Linked DNA regions of Lepisosteus oculatus. The protein of the gene in region 2 purifies or fractionates together with the protein of the main gene of each other region. This does not show direct contact. Links are inferred from orthologs where the notes say so. Each region holds a gene or a part of one and is shown on either strand. Other genes may lie near its edges.

Region 1 (7,717 bases), on a different chromosome or scaffold from region 2:
CTCTTCTCTCAGACTGCAGAGGGTTCTGCGGGGTCTTGCACACCCAGCACACCGTACACACAGTGGAGTCAACACGCAGGACGGCACCTACAGGCTAGAGGAACTGGCGAAAGGAGCACCATTACAGGTGTAGACCACCATTGATGAGAATTTATGACCATCTCCTGAAATTAATATTCAAAGAAGTTTTGAAAACAGACTGGAAAAACTTAAAGGAATGTCAGCAACAGAAACGGAAATGATACATAAGGTTAACATGTGCTCTGTCACCCAGTTTGTCAGACCAGCTGCAAAAAAATGCAGGTATTGATCTTGTCTTTTCATACAATCAGGAGAGTGAGGATGACAGGGCAAAAACACCAAATCAAAAATAAAAATAAAAAAAACACAAAACTCAAGCAAACTGGGAGACATTAAAGTGCAGAGCATCACGTGGAGGTAAAGAAATCTACAAGCTAGATACAAAACAGGAAATGCTGATATTGGAGAGATTACTTATCAAAAAACAGGACTTTATGTTGACATTATCTAGGCTACTGAACTACTATTATCTAGGCTATATCTACAAGACTTTGGGCAAGCAATATATTCAGCTACATAGTATAAATCTTAGAATTTAAATTGAGGGATGATGTGTTAAAGTTGTATAACACACTAATAATACCTCCTTATGAACATGGTCTACAATTTTCGTCACCCTGTAACAGAGAAAATACCATTCCTCTGGAATCTGTCCAGAGAGCAACCAGATACTTTCTGGGGTTTAAGGCAAAGCCCAATGCTTTTCAGTCCTGAACAGAGAAGAAAATGAGGGGACTTGATACAAGTATTCAAAAACCTCACAGGCCTTGACACAGCCAACCCAGGCGACTTCAGAACAAACAGCAAAACAGCCCAGAGAATAAGGGGAAACTACAAGGAAGTGCAATTAAAACTGAACAGGAGGCGCTTCTTTACACAAAGGGTTGTGGGAGTCTAGAACAAGCTACTCACCCTTGTTGTTGAAGCTGAGGCCCTGGTTTCTTTAAGGAAAACAGCTGGATGAGATCTTTAGGTCAACCATCCCAGAGATTTATTTCTTCGCTATGTCATTTTTGCCTAGATTCTTCTTTGTTAAACACCACACCAAACAGAAGGGCAGGCAGTCCTGAGAGGTGTGCTCTCTTTAGTGACCAGTCCACTTGGAGAGCTGCCTTTCTGAGGTGACCACATCTCACCAGGCACAACTTCAACAGTTTCGCCTCCTCTGCCCAGATGGTCACCCATGGAAACCCAGGAGAGCAGCCCCTACACCAGACAGACTTTCAGCCCCATTTGAGATTTCGCTCTCTGAAGGCAGGAACAATGAAATGTTTTCTACAGAACAAAGAGCTGAACTTCTGAAGACTAATGATGGGCCTGCAATTACTGGGTATTACGACTGCCAAGAATTAAGCAAAAATCCACATTTCAGACACCAGAGGTAGATTTCCTTGGAAAGCACCCTCAAGTACACCGGCGAGGGCTTGATCAATGCCGATGCAGACTGAACACTCTCTGTAATGAAATCCTGCAGCTCCAACACTACTGTGTCCCGGGACCCCATGCAGCTCCTGAGCATCTGTCTGCCCTCTACGCACTATCAGCAGCTGGAAACTGACATTTATTTAGCTGGGATATAATTCCCCCACTGAAACCCTGCAGGCAGATGTCCAGAGCGGGGAAGGGCGTTACGAGGTGAACTGCCCTGGGTCCCTGGGCCGGCCTGCGGGGTGCACAGCGCGAAGTCATGAAGACACAAAGCGACAGTACCGCTGTACTCGTCTCGGCAGCGTGAGGACAAGCAAGGCTTGAGACGCCGCAGTGCCGCCCGAGCGCATCACAGGTCGCCAGGTGACAGGACACCGGTGACGCTGTTCCCCAACTTGCTCATGTGCTCATGTTTCTCCCGGAGCCAGGACCCTCGGTAGGCCAGCTCACCCAGCCCAGCTTTTCCAGGGAGTCCGCCACAAAGCCAAGAGAACGGATCGCGACCGGGCCGGTACCGGCCCCGCTGCCTGTGCCTGCTCATGTGTTCATCGTAATGTAATCACACACTGTGGACCCCCAGAGCACAGTGTGTGCAGTGCTGCACGTCTGGGAGCCAGACTTCCGCACTCAAGTCCCTCTGCGACTACCGGCTGCACTTCATCGCCCCACGAGAAAAAACAAACGCCGTCCTGCCCCACGACAGCAGCTCCCGCAAGCCGACCCCCAGCCCCCACTCCCCACTCCCCGGGCTTACCTGAATCTGCCCCCGCAGTGCTGGCACTGGTCCCCCACCCAGCCGGGGTCGCACTGGCAGTATCCCACGGCCGTGCTGCACTGCCCGTTCAGGCAGGGCTTGTCGCACTCCTTCCCCTCGCACGGAGCAGGAAGCCCGGCCACGAAGACGAACAGCGCCGACAGGAGGAGCAGCGGTGCCCGCCTGGGCCCCAGCGAGCCCGGGGCCCTCGCCCGGTACACACCGCGGCTGCAGCCGCCGCCGGAGCGCCAGCAGGCCCGCCGCCTATCCCTCTGCATCCTGGCACGGAGTTGCTCGCCTGTGTTTTCGGCTCGCCTCCGCTCTGCCCCTCGACCTCAGGTGGGACTAGTCGCAATGGATTCCGGCGACGGTGTCAGAGTTGTACCAGTATTATCTTCTTCCTTGAGCGAATTAATTCACAAGCAAGCCCTTCCAGCCGCTCTCCCCGTCTCCCGTTATATTCCCTCTCTCCCCCCTCTCCTTGCCCACACACGCAAAGGCACCTGGAAATGACGTCCCGGCCGGAGAAGCGGGGGATTCAAGCCCGGGGAGCGACGCCAGAGCAACACCGGGGGCAGGCGGTTCTGCGCCGGGTCTCCTCACCAGCACGGGGGCCGACGAGTGAGACACGTATTCTCTCGCTGCCGATTTACGGAAGAAAACCAGACTCGTTTGCTTCCAACTGCGAGCGCGATATTCACAAAGCCCTACTGAAAGGCAGAGCAATCATGACGTACTGATTATTTATCCAAGTTCAATAAGCGCTTCGTCCAGCGCAGGAGTGCGGTGATGAGGCGGAGACTGGTGGGCACATAGCAAGAATTTGCACAATTTAGAAACCGCTATTATATCTACACAGAGTGACGTTAAAGTAAATATGAATAAACTCAAGTAGGGAGCTGCATCAGCATACATAGGCTGTAAAAGAACAAGTAAAGGTTTATTCCAGATACACTCACACCAGGGCCCAGTTTCCCAGAAGCCAATTAACCTACCAGTATGCCTTTGGACTGGGGGAGGAAACCAATATAAACTAAGGGAGAACATACCCATTGATACAGTACCCATTGAACATACCCATTGATGCTCAGGTCAGTGCTGCTAACCCCTGTCCCACCATGCCACCCACTAATTTACTTGTAAACCAAAAAAAAGTGATATATTGGTTTTTTTGTGCAAAAAAGTACAAACATTCCCTAGTAAAAATAACAATCTCATATTACTTCATATGTGCATGATGACAAAATAGGATTTTCAAACATTTTAGATGCAGGAAAGACAGAAGTTCAAGACTGGGCACATTTCTGTGAGAAGACATGTGGAGTAAAAGTATAAAGCCAAGATAGGAGACAGAGGGCTAGATATGAAAATTCTTGGATGATTCTGTTCACACATTGTTTGCATCAGCTAGACAATGTGGTGAAACAGTAAAAAACAAGAAATGTTAGTACATGAAAGACCACATTTGCAACATTGTGTATAATTTTAGATACCTTGTCACATAAAGATGGTTGATTTAGAATCTGTCCAGAATAGAGTAACCACATATATTCCACAGTTTAAAGGAACATTCTATGCAAACAGGCTGAAAGAACAGAACCTTTTAAAACTTGAATGCAAAAGAAAAGGATTCCTGATCCAAGCATTCAAAATCATTATGTCACCCCTGTGGATCTCTTCACAATCAACCATTACCCACAAATCAGAGAGCAGAAGTGGAAACTGTGGAATTGGATTTAAAACAGAGTGCATTTGTTTACACAGAGAGTGGTGGGAGTGTGCAACAAGCTCTTCCGCCATGTTGAAGTTGATACCCTGGCTTCTTTCGTGATACAGCTGTGTGAGATCATTGGATCAATTAGCAGCTAACAATTAAGTGTCCTAGATAGGCTGAATGGCTTCATCACATTTCTATCATTTTTATGTTCTCATGTTCTCTTCCCTTGTGTAGTGTGGACGGCAGATACATCTTTTACACCGCCCCTCTCCCTTAAACATTCTGATGGTACAGTACAACCAATAACAAGCACAGGTAAAAGTTTATTCCATGCTGAAAGGAAAAGAAAAGAGACACAACTTTTCAGCTGTGGAGCCTTCTCCGTGCCTGAATTGTCCGAATGTGACCAATCCACAGCTCCACACCTCTGTGACACCTGAAGAAGGCTCAACAGCCAAAACGTTGTGTCTCTGTTCTTGTCCTGTCGGCATGGAATAAACCTTTACCTGTTCCTTTGCAGCCTATGCATGCTGACACAGCTGCCTACTTGAACTTCTTCAACCCATTACAAGTGTGATGAGGAACGAAGAGATGCGTCTTCTACTACTATCCTGATCTGTAGAAGTCAAAGCCTGCCCTCTGCTGGCCGTCATTGCCTACAGCAGCCGTATGTTTCAGCTCTTTCTGCTCCTCCTTCTGTCTGCCCGGAAAAACTGCGGTGCTTCTCCCAGCTTCCCCTTTCTCCCCGCTTTGCTTGCCATTTACTCTTAAACCCCTTATCCAAGTGTGAGCTACCCCTCTGCCTCAAGCTGCGTCAGCCCCATTCCCCACCCTGGCCTCCTCAACAAGCCTCAGTCCTCCTGGGAGATGCTCGGCCATGTAGTTGGAGCCGTTACCCTGGTTTCCTTCAGGAAATGGTAGGGTAAGATCCTACTGTCAGTTGGCTGCTAGAAACCAAATGTGTTGTAACTCCTCACCCCTCTCTCATTTCCTTTTTTTAAATAACTTATTAGCTTTTTAATGGCACAATTTTTAGTGTTACTGCTTCTCTGCTCTTAGATCCCGGAGTCAAGTGAGACTTTGGACATGATATACACCAGCAGCCCTATCACCCTGCGACCCACAGCTGGCAGCTCACTGAAGCCCAGCAGTGTGAGTCTGGCCAGTACCTGGATGAGAGACCGCCAGGGAAGCAAATGTTGCTGCTGGAAGAGGTGTTAATGGGGCCAGCAGCAGACGCTCACCCTGTGGTCCTAATGCCCCAGTATAGTAACAGGGATACTACTGTAAAATCCTTCGGATGAGACATAAAACTGAGGTCCTGACTCTCTGTGGTTATTAGCAATCCCGGGGCATTTCTCAAAAAGAGTAGGGGTGTTACCCCAGCGTCCTGGCTAAATTTCCCTTTGGCCCTTACCAATCATTGCCTCCTAATAATCCCCATCTCTGAACTGGCTTCATCACTCTGCTCTCCTCCCCACTGAGAGCTGGTGTGTGGGGAGAGTACTGGTGCATCATCCAGGTGGGGCTGCACACTGGTGGTGGTGGAGGGGTGTCCCCATTACCTGTAAAGCGCTTTGAGTGGAGTGTCCAGAAAAGTGCTATATAAGTGTAAGGAATTATTATAATAATAATTATTATTATTATTAATTGACATCTCTAAATAGTCCTGTGTGTGTACCATCCGATAGGCTGGCCAGCTACTTGCAGTCTTACTTGCAGCTACCCAATTACAATTCATTACTGTCTATGTACACATAATAAATGGATTAACCCCTTTATTGTCCTCGCTGAGGACGTGAATACGTGGAAATGTGCATCGGGCGATACGTGACGGTACCTACTGTATGACAAACCAGGCACATTTTATCAACAGGCATCTTTCCCAGAACTGTGGGACAAGTTATGGTGTCAAAAATCTAAACTACCTTGAGGAAGAATAGTAAAATTAATAGATTTGATAGTAAGAAAAAAAAAAGTATTTTAAGGTCTTATTTTCATCATGCAGGTGGGGCTGCACACTGGGAGTGTTGGAGGGGATCCCCATTACCTGTAAAGCGCTTTGAGTGTCCAGAAAAGCACTATATAAGTGTAAGTAATTATTATTATTATTATTATTATTATTATTATTATTTATGGTTGTCTCATTTGCTTTCTTGCTCTTGATGAGGCGAGCAAAGGAGCAGTGGGCAGTGTGAGGTCGCTAAAAAGCCCTTCAGGTCTGTATAGACTGTACGATTGAACACTGTGTAAGTGTAGCGAGTTTGATGAAAGACTTCCACTAAATATATTATTTGGTGTTGGGAAGAAAACCTTTTTATGTCTAAATAATGTGCTCTAAGCGCACAGATTTCTGGGCCCATGCTGTCACAGTGGAATTTTCACTTCTGAATTTTCTAGTTTTGTTCCAAGTGTTTCCCATAGTGGGGAACAGAGTTAAATGGTTGGGCTCGTGACTTATCTTAGCCCTGGGCCCCACAACAGCTTTCAGAGGCACCTATGGTTGGTCAGCTTTCTTCTGTCTCAACACTAGACTAAATCAGACTCCTCAAAAGGTTAGCTTATTGTAATCAATGGGCATGTCTTTGGTTTTTGACATTATTTTGAAGGCAGGAGTTGTTCCACCATTCAACCCAAAAATCCACTCCAGGCCCATGATCAGTGTCTACATGTTGGAGCAGACTGACACTGACACAGTCATCAGCAGACTTAATGACATGTCATTTCGGCCTTGGAGCCTTCTTCAGGTGAAGAAGAAGAAGACACCTGAAGAAGGCTCCATGGCCAAAACATTGTGTTCTCTTTCTTCTCTTTTCAGCATGGAGGTAACCTATTACTTGTTCCTTTGCAGCCTACGCATGCTGACGCAGCTCCCCACCTGAATTAATAACATGTCTGTTCTCAAAACACTGGGCAGCTGCAGCTTCAACTGAAAAGGAAAACGGAGCAAGAGAGATGGATAGGGGCACTGTATACAGTATGTCAATAAATGCAAATATAGGATTTCTGTACTGTTCTGTACTGTCATCCGCCTCATTGGGGTTATACTCAGATGCAGCTCTGTTGCTCTTCCCCATGCTTTGTCATGGCTTTGCAGCAGCTTTCCTCTCACCAGGCCAGCTGCCGCAGGAGCTCGCAGGACGTTACCATGAGCTCATGCATTTCTGTAGTGCTCACACACAGGAGGGGACCTGCTGCACCCCCCGCTCGGTGACACACAGTGACTGTTCTGCACTGGCACCCCCAGTAATCCCTGCTCCTCAGTGGATCACCGACAGAGGGGGAAACTGCTGCACCAACTGAATTAAGAGGAAATTTTAGGGAGGCCAGCAGACCTGGTGTTAACACAGGTGTTCTTATGCAGAGAGCTATGGGATCTTTAATTACTGCATGGTCAAGATTGCACTCTTAAGTCTCGTATGAAGGACAGCCCCCCCTGCAGCAGTGTCACCAGTCACCACACCTGGAATATCTGTCCAGAGGGGACAGCGCCACCTCTTGAAGCAGTAACCTGATTTTCCCTCGAAGTCACCCATCCCAGCACTGCCCTGGCACAGCAATGTTTAACTCCTGAGATCTGATGATGTGGGACTGCAGTCGAGGAGGAAGGAGGGTGATATCCAACAGAGGGGACGACTCTCTGTACAGTGGGAGGTAGCGCAGGAAAGGCGGAGGGTTACTCAGAGGGGAGGAGGGGGTCCTGGTTCCTCAGCACGGAAAAGACAAACAAAAGAGGA
Region 2 (7,443 bases):
GGAGTTGGTGGGGAACATGTAAACTCCTTCCATAAGGTGGTTAAAAATTCACCAAAGAATTGTGAGGCAACAACACTAACAGTTACACTACCATTACATTCTATTGTCTCAGTGTCTAAAACTGCTTCTTTAACGTTTACAGCACAGATTATTGTAATTTGGGGTGAAAGTAAGGCATTTATAATAATAATTGCTTGAGTTTATATAGCCCTTTTCTGGACACTCCACTCAAAGCGCTTTCCAGGTAATGGGAACTCCCCTCCACCACCACCAATGTACCTGCAGCCATAGTGCACCAGAACACTCACCACACATTAGCCAATAGTGGGGAGGAGAACAGAGTAATGAAACCAATTCATAGATGGGGATTATTAGGAGGCCAAGATGCAAACTTTGGACAGGACACCGGGGTTCCATCCCTTCTCATTTTGAGAAATAATAATAATAATAATTATAATAATAATAATTGCTTACACTTATATAGCGCTTTTCTGGACACTCCACTCAAAGCGCTTTACAGGTAATGGGGACTCCCCTCCACCACCACCAATGTGCAGCATCCACCTGGATGATGCGACGGCAGCCATAGTGCGCCAGAACGCTCACCACACATCAGCTATCAGTGGGGAGGAGAGCAGAGTAATGTAGCCAATTCATAGAGGGGGATTATTAGGAGGCCATGATTAGTAAGGGCCAATTGGAAATTTGGCCAGGACACCGGGGTTACACCCCTACTCTTTTCGAGAAGCACCCTGGGAACTTTAATGACCACAGAGAGTCAGGACCTCTCTCTTGCATCTCATCAGAAGGACGGCACCTTTTTATAGTACAGTGTCCTCATCACCATACTGGGGCAATAGGACCCACATAGACTGCAGGGTGAGCACTCCCTGCTGGCCCCACTAACACCTCTTCCAGCATCAACCTTAGTTTTTCCCAGGAGGTCTCCCATCCAGGTACTGACCAGGCTCACATCTGCTGAGCTTCAGTGGGTTGCCAGTTGTGAGTTGCAGGGTAATATGGCTGCTGACATTTACTGCCAATGCCCTGTTTTTGAACTGAACCAGTATCAGATGACGCAGATGTGATGCTGGAATCAAGTTTTGAAAGGTTTTGCCATTTACGTGTTCTCAGGTTATCTGAGGTAAAACTTTTGGAAGCTCTTTTCTCATTAAACAGTATTGCCGGTACAGGAAGGGAGAAGTCTTTTCAAGTTGATCATTAGCTAGCAAAACACATTAACATCAACCACTCCGGATGGTAAAGAAGTAAAGTTATGAGGCTGTTTCCATTCAAACTGCAGAGGGCACTGATGGAATAGCCTTTAGAAAGCTCAAGTCTCATAACCTTTCTGCTTCAGTAAATGTGCCTACAAATCACAGGTGCACTCCTCGTGTACCATTCTGTTTCATACTACCAAAATCACACACAAGTAACAAGACAAAGTACTACAGCTTTGGTGTCAGCTTTGGCCGGAACTTTAGAAACTGGGTCTCGGCAGACTGCCAGACCCAAAAGAACGGTACACAAGCAGTACTCCAGAAGGCTCTCTCTTCCTCCCACACCCACCTCTCGCTCTCGGCCAGCTGCATGGACTCCAGCTTGGAGTGTGCCCCCCGGTTGAAGCCCTTCACCTCCTGCTCCTCCAGGCCCTCCAGCAGCCGGATGGCGTCCTTGTTGACCCCTCTCCTCTTCGCCAGCACCAGGGGAGTGGCGCCGTTGTGATTGCTGTGCCAGGAACACAAGGAGACGGGTTGAGGCCCCAGCCTCCCAAAGGGCGGAAGAGTTCCCAGCACTCTGACATGGGACAGACGGGGGTCTGCACCTACCAGATGTCAATTTTGAGCCCGTTCGAGACCAGGAACTGGATGGTGTCGACGTGGCCGCAGAGGTGCAGCGCGGTGTTGCCCTGGTAGTCCGTGGCCAGCAGGTCGGCCCCGAACTTGTGCAGCAGCCGGCAGATCTCCACGTTGCCGCGGGCCGCCGCCAGGTGCAGCCCCGTACGACCGCGGTTGTCCCGGATATTGGGATCGAAGCCGCTTTCCAGGAGGCGCTTCGAGTAGTTCAGGTCCCCGTCGATGCAAGCCTGCAGCAGGGGCACGTTCGTTTGGGAAGAGTCATTGATGAAGACATACGACATGTCTGAGTGGGTGTCGGTAAAGTCCAGGGTACCTGCGGGACAAGAAAACAAGCGCCGGGAAGGGTGTGTTGGAAAGTTAACTTTTAGTGAAGTGGTGTTGGGGTAAGATAGGCGGCGCGTCTGTCACACCCTCAAACTCGCACTGGGCTATGAAAGCCTGTCATCACTTGGACATTAACCCTAAAAAAAACATGTACGGTTAACGAAGCGAGAAAAGATTTAATACATTTTTCCAGATTTGCTTTTATTTTTAATACAAAATTACTGCGTCACGAGTGCGGTCCCATAAACATCGTAACATAAAGAACGAAATCTCCATCAAGCGCAGAAAAGGAGAGTTCACATCCGCCCCCTTCGGATCGGATGCGCTCATCTGGGTACACACCGATCCCACAGGTACGCCCCAACTCTGCACCGCAACGGAGAGCCGATAGTAAACCATTACATCACAAATTAATAAACACACGACATCGCCTGGACCTCCCGAGCTAAACCGAAGCGTACCTTAACGGGTGATGCCTATGTTTAAGCACAGATGCACGCCAAGAATCGTATAAAATATAAATACATTCCAGCAAAGAAAAGAAATAATTTAGGATGCACCTAAGCCGTCACAGATCCACTAAATTGGATTCTGCTTAAAACATCCTTTCAAAAAACCTTCATCATCAAGACGACTCGCTTACATGCATCGTATTTACATAAGCAGTCTTAAGCAAACTTCCCGAAAGCAGCAGTATTACCCATTACCTGATTATGTTTTGCAAAAGAACCGAAAAAATATGCCTCTTTTCCTTTTTATTTTGTTGCCGATCTAAGACGACACAAACCACCCGTAAACGGACCTGACAATTTCACGTCTACATCAGGGTGCTTTACGGCAGTAGGAGCTGTCTCGTTTCCATGGTTACCCCAGTCAGGAGCCGCCTACTCACTTGTAAGGGAGATTGACCCATCATTATATAAGACACAGCAATCTAAATCTACGAGTCAGAATCGCCGTTTTAAATAAAAAAGGTATCATTACAAGCTTTCAAAATAGAATTTAACATCATATAAGGTATAAAGACTCAATGTAGTAATAGTAGAGGGCAAATTAGGAAGGTGTTGCCAGATCTGAAAAGCTGAGAAGACTGGGCCTGGTCAGTACTGGAATGGTAGATCGCCATGAAAACTGGGCACCTGCTATAAGTAGCACTGGTGGACCAGTAAGTGGTTCTCTTCACCCATAACAGAATTTAATAATAATAAGAAGAAAGAATTTCTTGCATAATGTGCAGCATCCACCTTAACGATGAAATGACAACCAAACTGTGGACAGTAGGCTCTCCACACATCAGCTATCAGTGGGTTGAAGAACAGAGTAATGAAGCCAAGTCATAGATTATTAGGAGGCCAGGATACCAGGGTTACACCCCTACTCTTTTCAAGAAGTGCCTTGGGATTTTTAATGACAACAGAGAGTCAGGACCTACTGGCCCCACTATCACCTCTTCCACTAGCAACTATAGCTTTTCCCAGGAGGTCTCCCATCCAGGTGCAGGCCAGGCTCAAACCTGCTGCACTTCAGTGGATTGCCAGTTGTGAGTTACAGTATGATATAGATGCTGGGTACATTCATTATAATAATTCACAATCCAATGTCCCTGCCTGGTGACAGAGACAGTGTGCTGAAATAGGTGCCGTCTTTCATTGAGACTTTCAAACTGAGTTCCTGACTTCTTGGTTATTAAATGTAAAAATAAATTGCACTTTTCCAAATTTTAGGGATATTAACCCCAGTTTTCTGAATACATTCAATTCAATGTGGAAATGCAGGCCTTCTTAAAGTCTTCCCTAAATTAAATGGTGAAATAATTTCTCTCCTCACCACCTGGTCTGCTGTATGTTGGTATTGCTGGTGCAGGATGGTGTAGTTTAGTGAGAGAGATGTGGGTCCCCTCCTATTTGTAAAGCACTTTTGGGATCAAATGCAACCAATCATTGATTGTTTTATACAATGAAAAAACAAGTACTGTATTTAAGACACTGGGAAAATACTGAAGATGACCGTATTACCTTTAGAAAAACCCATGTGTTCATAGTTGATTATGTTTGTCGGACTTTGCCTTTATGTTGTATCAAAGAAATTATTTATATATCGCAGATGGGCCCATCCTGTGCAGTTCTTATACTGGAGAAAAGAAAATGTGATATGTAAAAAATCAGTGCGCTGCAATAACATGTAGCATGTTATGTAGCACAACCACCACACGAAAACACTAACAGCTACAAATTCCAAGATCTAAAAGTACAGACTATTGTTGTTAAAAGAAAAGCATTACAATACAAAGCTCAGAAATTGCAGTAATACTGGATCATACAATGAAAGTGTAGAGTAGGAACAGTTTTGAAGAGGGTGGGCAGTTATATTACTGTCGAGTACAGTATCTGTTTACACTTTAGGGTTCATTCTTTTTTGGGCAACCGTTCTGGACTGTACTTGCTCTTTTATCAAGCATGGTGGTGGAAAGACATAAATCTCTGGACAAGAGTTTCTGGAGTGTTTTTGCTTTTGGATGAAGAACAAAATCTCTAAAGCATTTTAAGAAGTAGGAGTAGTAGTAGTAGTAGTACTAGTAATAAAAATAACGGAATTAGGCACTGGAAATGAAACCTACCCGTGAAACACCAATACCCACAACGCACCTCAGTGTTTTCAGTTTCTATTAACGCCTAGTACCATAACATTGCCTACCGGTAGTTGTAGTTTATGATCCCTATCGTCGCCTAGAGATGCCACCACCAGGAACTACATTCCCCACAGTGCAGCGCGCACTATTTTTTTATTTCACCGCTTTAAACCCAGTTGACAGCCGGAGGATGGAGGCAGGTAAGAATATCACTCTCCGAGGCTAAAAATCGTCGTAAAGATTAAACATAAAAGTGATTTTTTGTCATGATTAATTAGGCTCTTCAGCAAAACCGTACAGAAAGAATTCCGTTCATCTTTAACACTGCGTTTCTGGATACACATCTGAGTTGGAAGTTTCTGTATTGTTTCTATCTGGCCCTCGTTAAGTGTAAACTTTACAGATTGGATTCTCTGTGTTTGAATTCCTTAAAGCAACGATCTTTTTTATTACTTAATTAATGTGAGTTTGTATTGGTTTTTGGTGGGATTGGGCAATTAAGATATAGAGCCGGTATATAAATAAAACCCCTTTTTTTTGCTTAGCGATGTTCGTTTCGGTGTATCCTCTCATTTTTTTCGGTCCTTGATATAATTTCTGGCATTGGTCAGAATACGTTTAGTATTTAATAGCTAATAATAAATAGCAACATCAGTAGAAAATCTGTCCCATTGGTACAGCTCGCAAAATCGACTGTGTTTTTTTTTTTCTGTTTTCAAAAACACGCCTGAATCTGTAATACAGATACTCCAAATCTCTGAAGTCCCGGAAGATCTGGCTTTTCCAGATGTAGAAAGTCTCGGAGATTTCAGGCGCAGCATAATGTCTGCGGCGTCATCATGGGGCTAGTTTTCTTATTGTCTCTCCGTGTTAACTGCACAGTCGCAGTGTTTGCGGAAAGGACAGATTCAATGTAGCCGACCGGAGTTTGAGGTTCCGTCTAATAAAAGGGCTGTCCTAGCTCGGATTCTGGAGGGGCGGAGTATCTGCGAGCTGTCATTCAAGTGCTGCTCGTGAAAACCAAAACCGTCTGGGTTACTGGCTTAACCGGACCACTTAAACCCCAACGATCTTTCAGTTTTGCGTGTCCGGATTAACAGTTCTGAATTGGACAGTCCCGGTCTAAAATACACAGTTTAAGCACCTCTCCTGATCTAGGATCTTCTGACGGGTATTCAATAACTCGCAGATGTGCAGGAGAGGTTCAGAGATGCTCTGAACTACAGTATGCGGCTGTTTCTGATCGTGCTGTCTTTTAAACCTATTGACTGAAAAAGTCAGTTAATTGGTTGGGAGATTCATTTGACCAGCAGAGAGGGTTACTTGTATAATAATAATTAAGAATTCCTTACACTTATATATATGACACTCCACTCAAAGTGCTTTAAAGGTAATGGGGACTCCCCTCCACCACCAATGTGACAGCAGCCATAGTGCACCAGAACACTCACCAGCTATCCGTGGGGAGGAGAGCAGAGTAATGAAGTCAATTGATAGATGGGGATTATTAGGAGGTTATTAATTGGTAAGAGCCAATGGGAAATTTGGCCAGGGCGCCAGGGTTACACCCCTACTATTTTCGAGAAACACCCTGGGATTCTTATTGACCACAGAGAGTCAGGACCTCGGTTTTACATCTCATCCGAAGGACTATGCCTGTTTACAGTATAGTGTCCCCGTTACCATACTGGGGCATTAGGACCCACATGGACCAGAGGGTGAGCACCCCCTGCTGGCCCCACTAACACCTCTTCCAGCAGCAACCTTAGTTTTAGGTCTCCCATCCAGGTACTGACCAGGCTCACACCTGCTTAGCTTCAGTGGGTTACCACTTGTGAGTTCCAGGGTGATATGGCTGCTGATAACTTATGTAGGCAAATTGATTACCCAGGAAAATGTGCCTTTTTTTCAACCTGGTCTACAGAGGTTCAATGCTGCAACTCACAACTAGCAACCCACTGAAGCTAAGCAGATGAGCCTGGTCCTGGCTTCATTACTCTGTTCTCCTCCCCACTGATAGCTGGTGTGTGGTGAGTGTTCTGGTGCACTATGGCTGCCGTCGCATCATCCTGGTGGGGCTGCACATTGGTGGTGGTGGAGGGGAGTCCCCATTACCTGTAAAGCGCTTTGAGTGGAGTGTCAAGAAAAGCACTATATAAGTGTAAGCTGCTATTATTATTATTATTATTATTATTATTATTATTATTATTATTATTACTTGCATGGGTAGCCTGATAGCCTTGGGTCCTGGACCCTGATTTCGGTTTTCCCTGTCCCTCCTGGTGGGATCATGCTTTGTGCTTCTGTGTCAGGGGTCACATGAGAGACCGGGAGGAGAGAGGCCTCTGGAATACAGATTACTGCAGATCGTTTTATTAGAAAATTAACTGCCCGTCATACCCCTGAATTGACTTTTCAGTATTGTTTGGCTCATTTGTGAGACAGCACAATGAAGAAGTTCGAACTTTAGGAAATTACAGACAATGTGCCTTGAAGCATTGTTTTCAGGACGTTTCTTTAACATCTTACCTTCGTAGTCCTGTATATGTAGCCAGGTGACGAGGTAGTGGCACAGGTGTCAAGAGTAATGTCCTCACACAGGCTGATAGTTCCTCGCTACCAGCTGCAGAA

What was found. Proteins that work in one complex are often made in the same cells at the same time.
Region 1: the proteins of ankyrin repeat domain-containing protein 46 (region 2) and atrn purify together in Homo sapiens (co-immunoprecipitation; 3 studies listed by BioGRID and IntAct, with this or other methods). This does not show direct contact. The link is inferred for Lepisosteus oculatus from reciprocal best matches to the Homo sapiens genes ANKRD46 and ATRN.

Annotation. Positions count from the first base shown.
Region 1 is NC_090696.1:1,300,315-1,308,031, reverse strand, and holds the start of atrn (attractin), read right to left. Parts: upstream 3,010-7,717; 5' UTR 2,542-3,009; coding exon 2,264-2,541; intron 1-2,263. UniProt on the Homo sapiens protein: Involved in the initial immune cell clustering during inflammatory response and may regulate chemotactic activity of chemokines. May play a role in melanocortin signaling pathways that regulate energy homeostasis and hair color.
Region 2 is NC_090703.1:40,734,933-40,742,375, reverse strand, and holds the start of ankyrin repeat domain-containing protein 46, read right to left. Parts: upstream 3,010-7,443; 5' UTR 2,891-3,009; intron 2,173-2,890; 5' UTR 2,141-2,172; coding exon 1,830-2,140; intron 1,729-1,829; coding exon 1,570-1,728; intron 1-1,569. Other genes in the region: cysteine protease ATG4A, read left to right, coding at 5,003-5,012.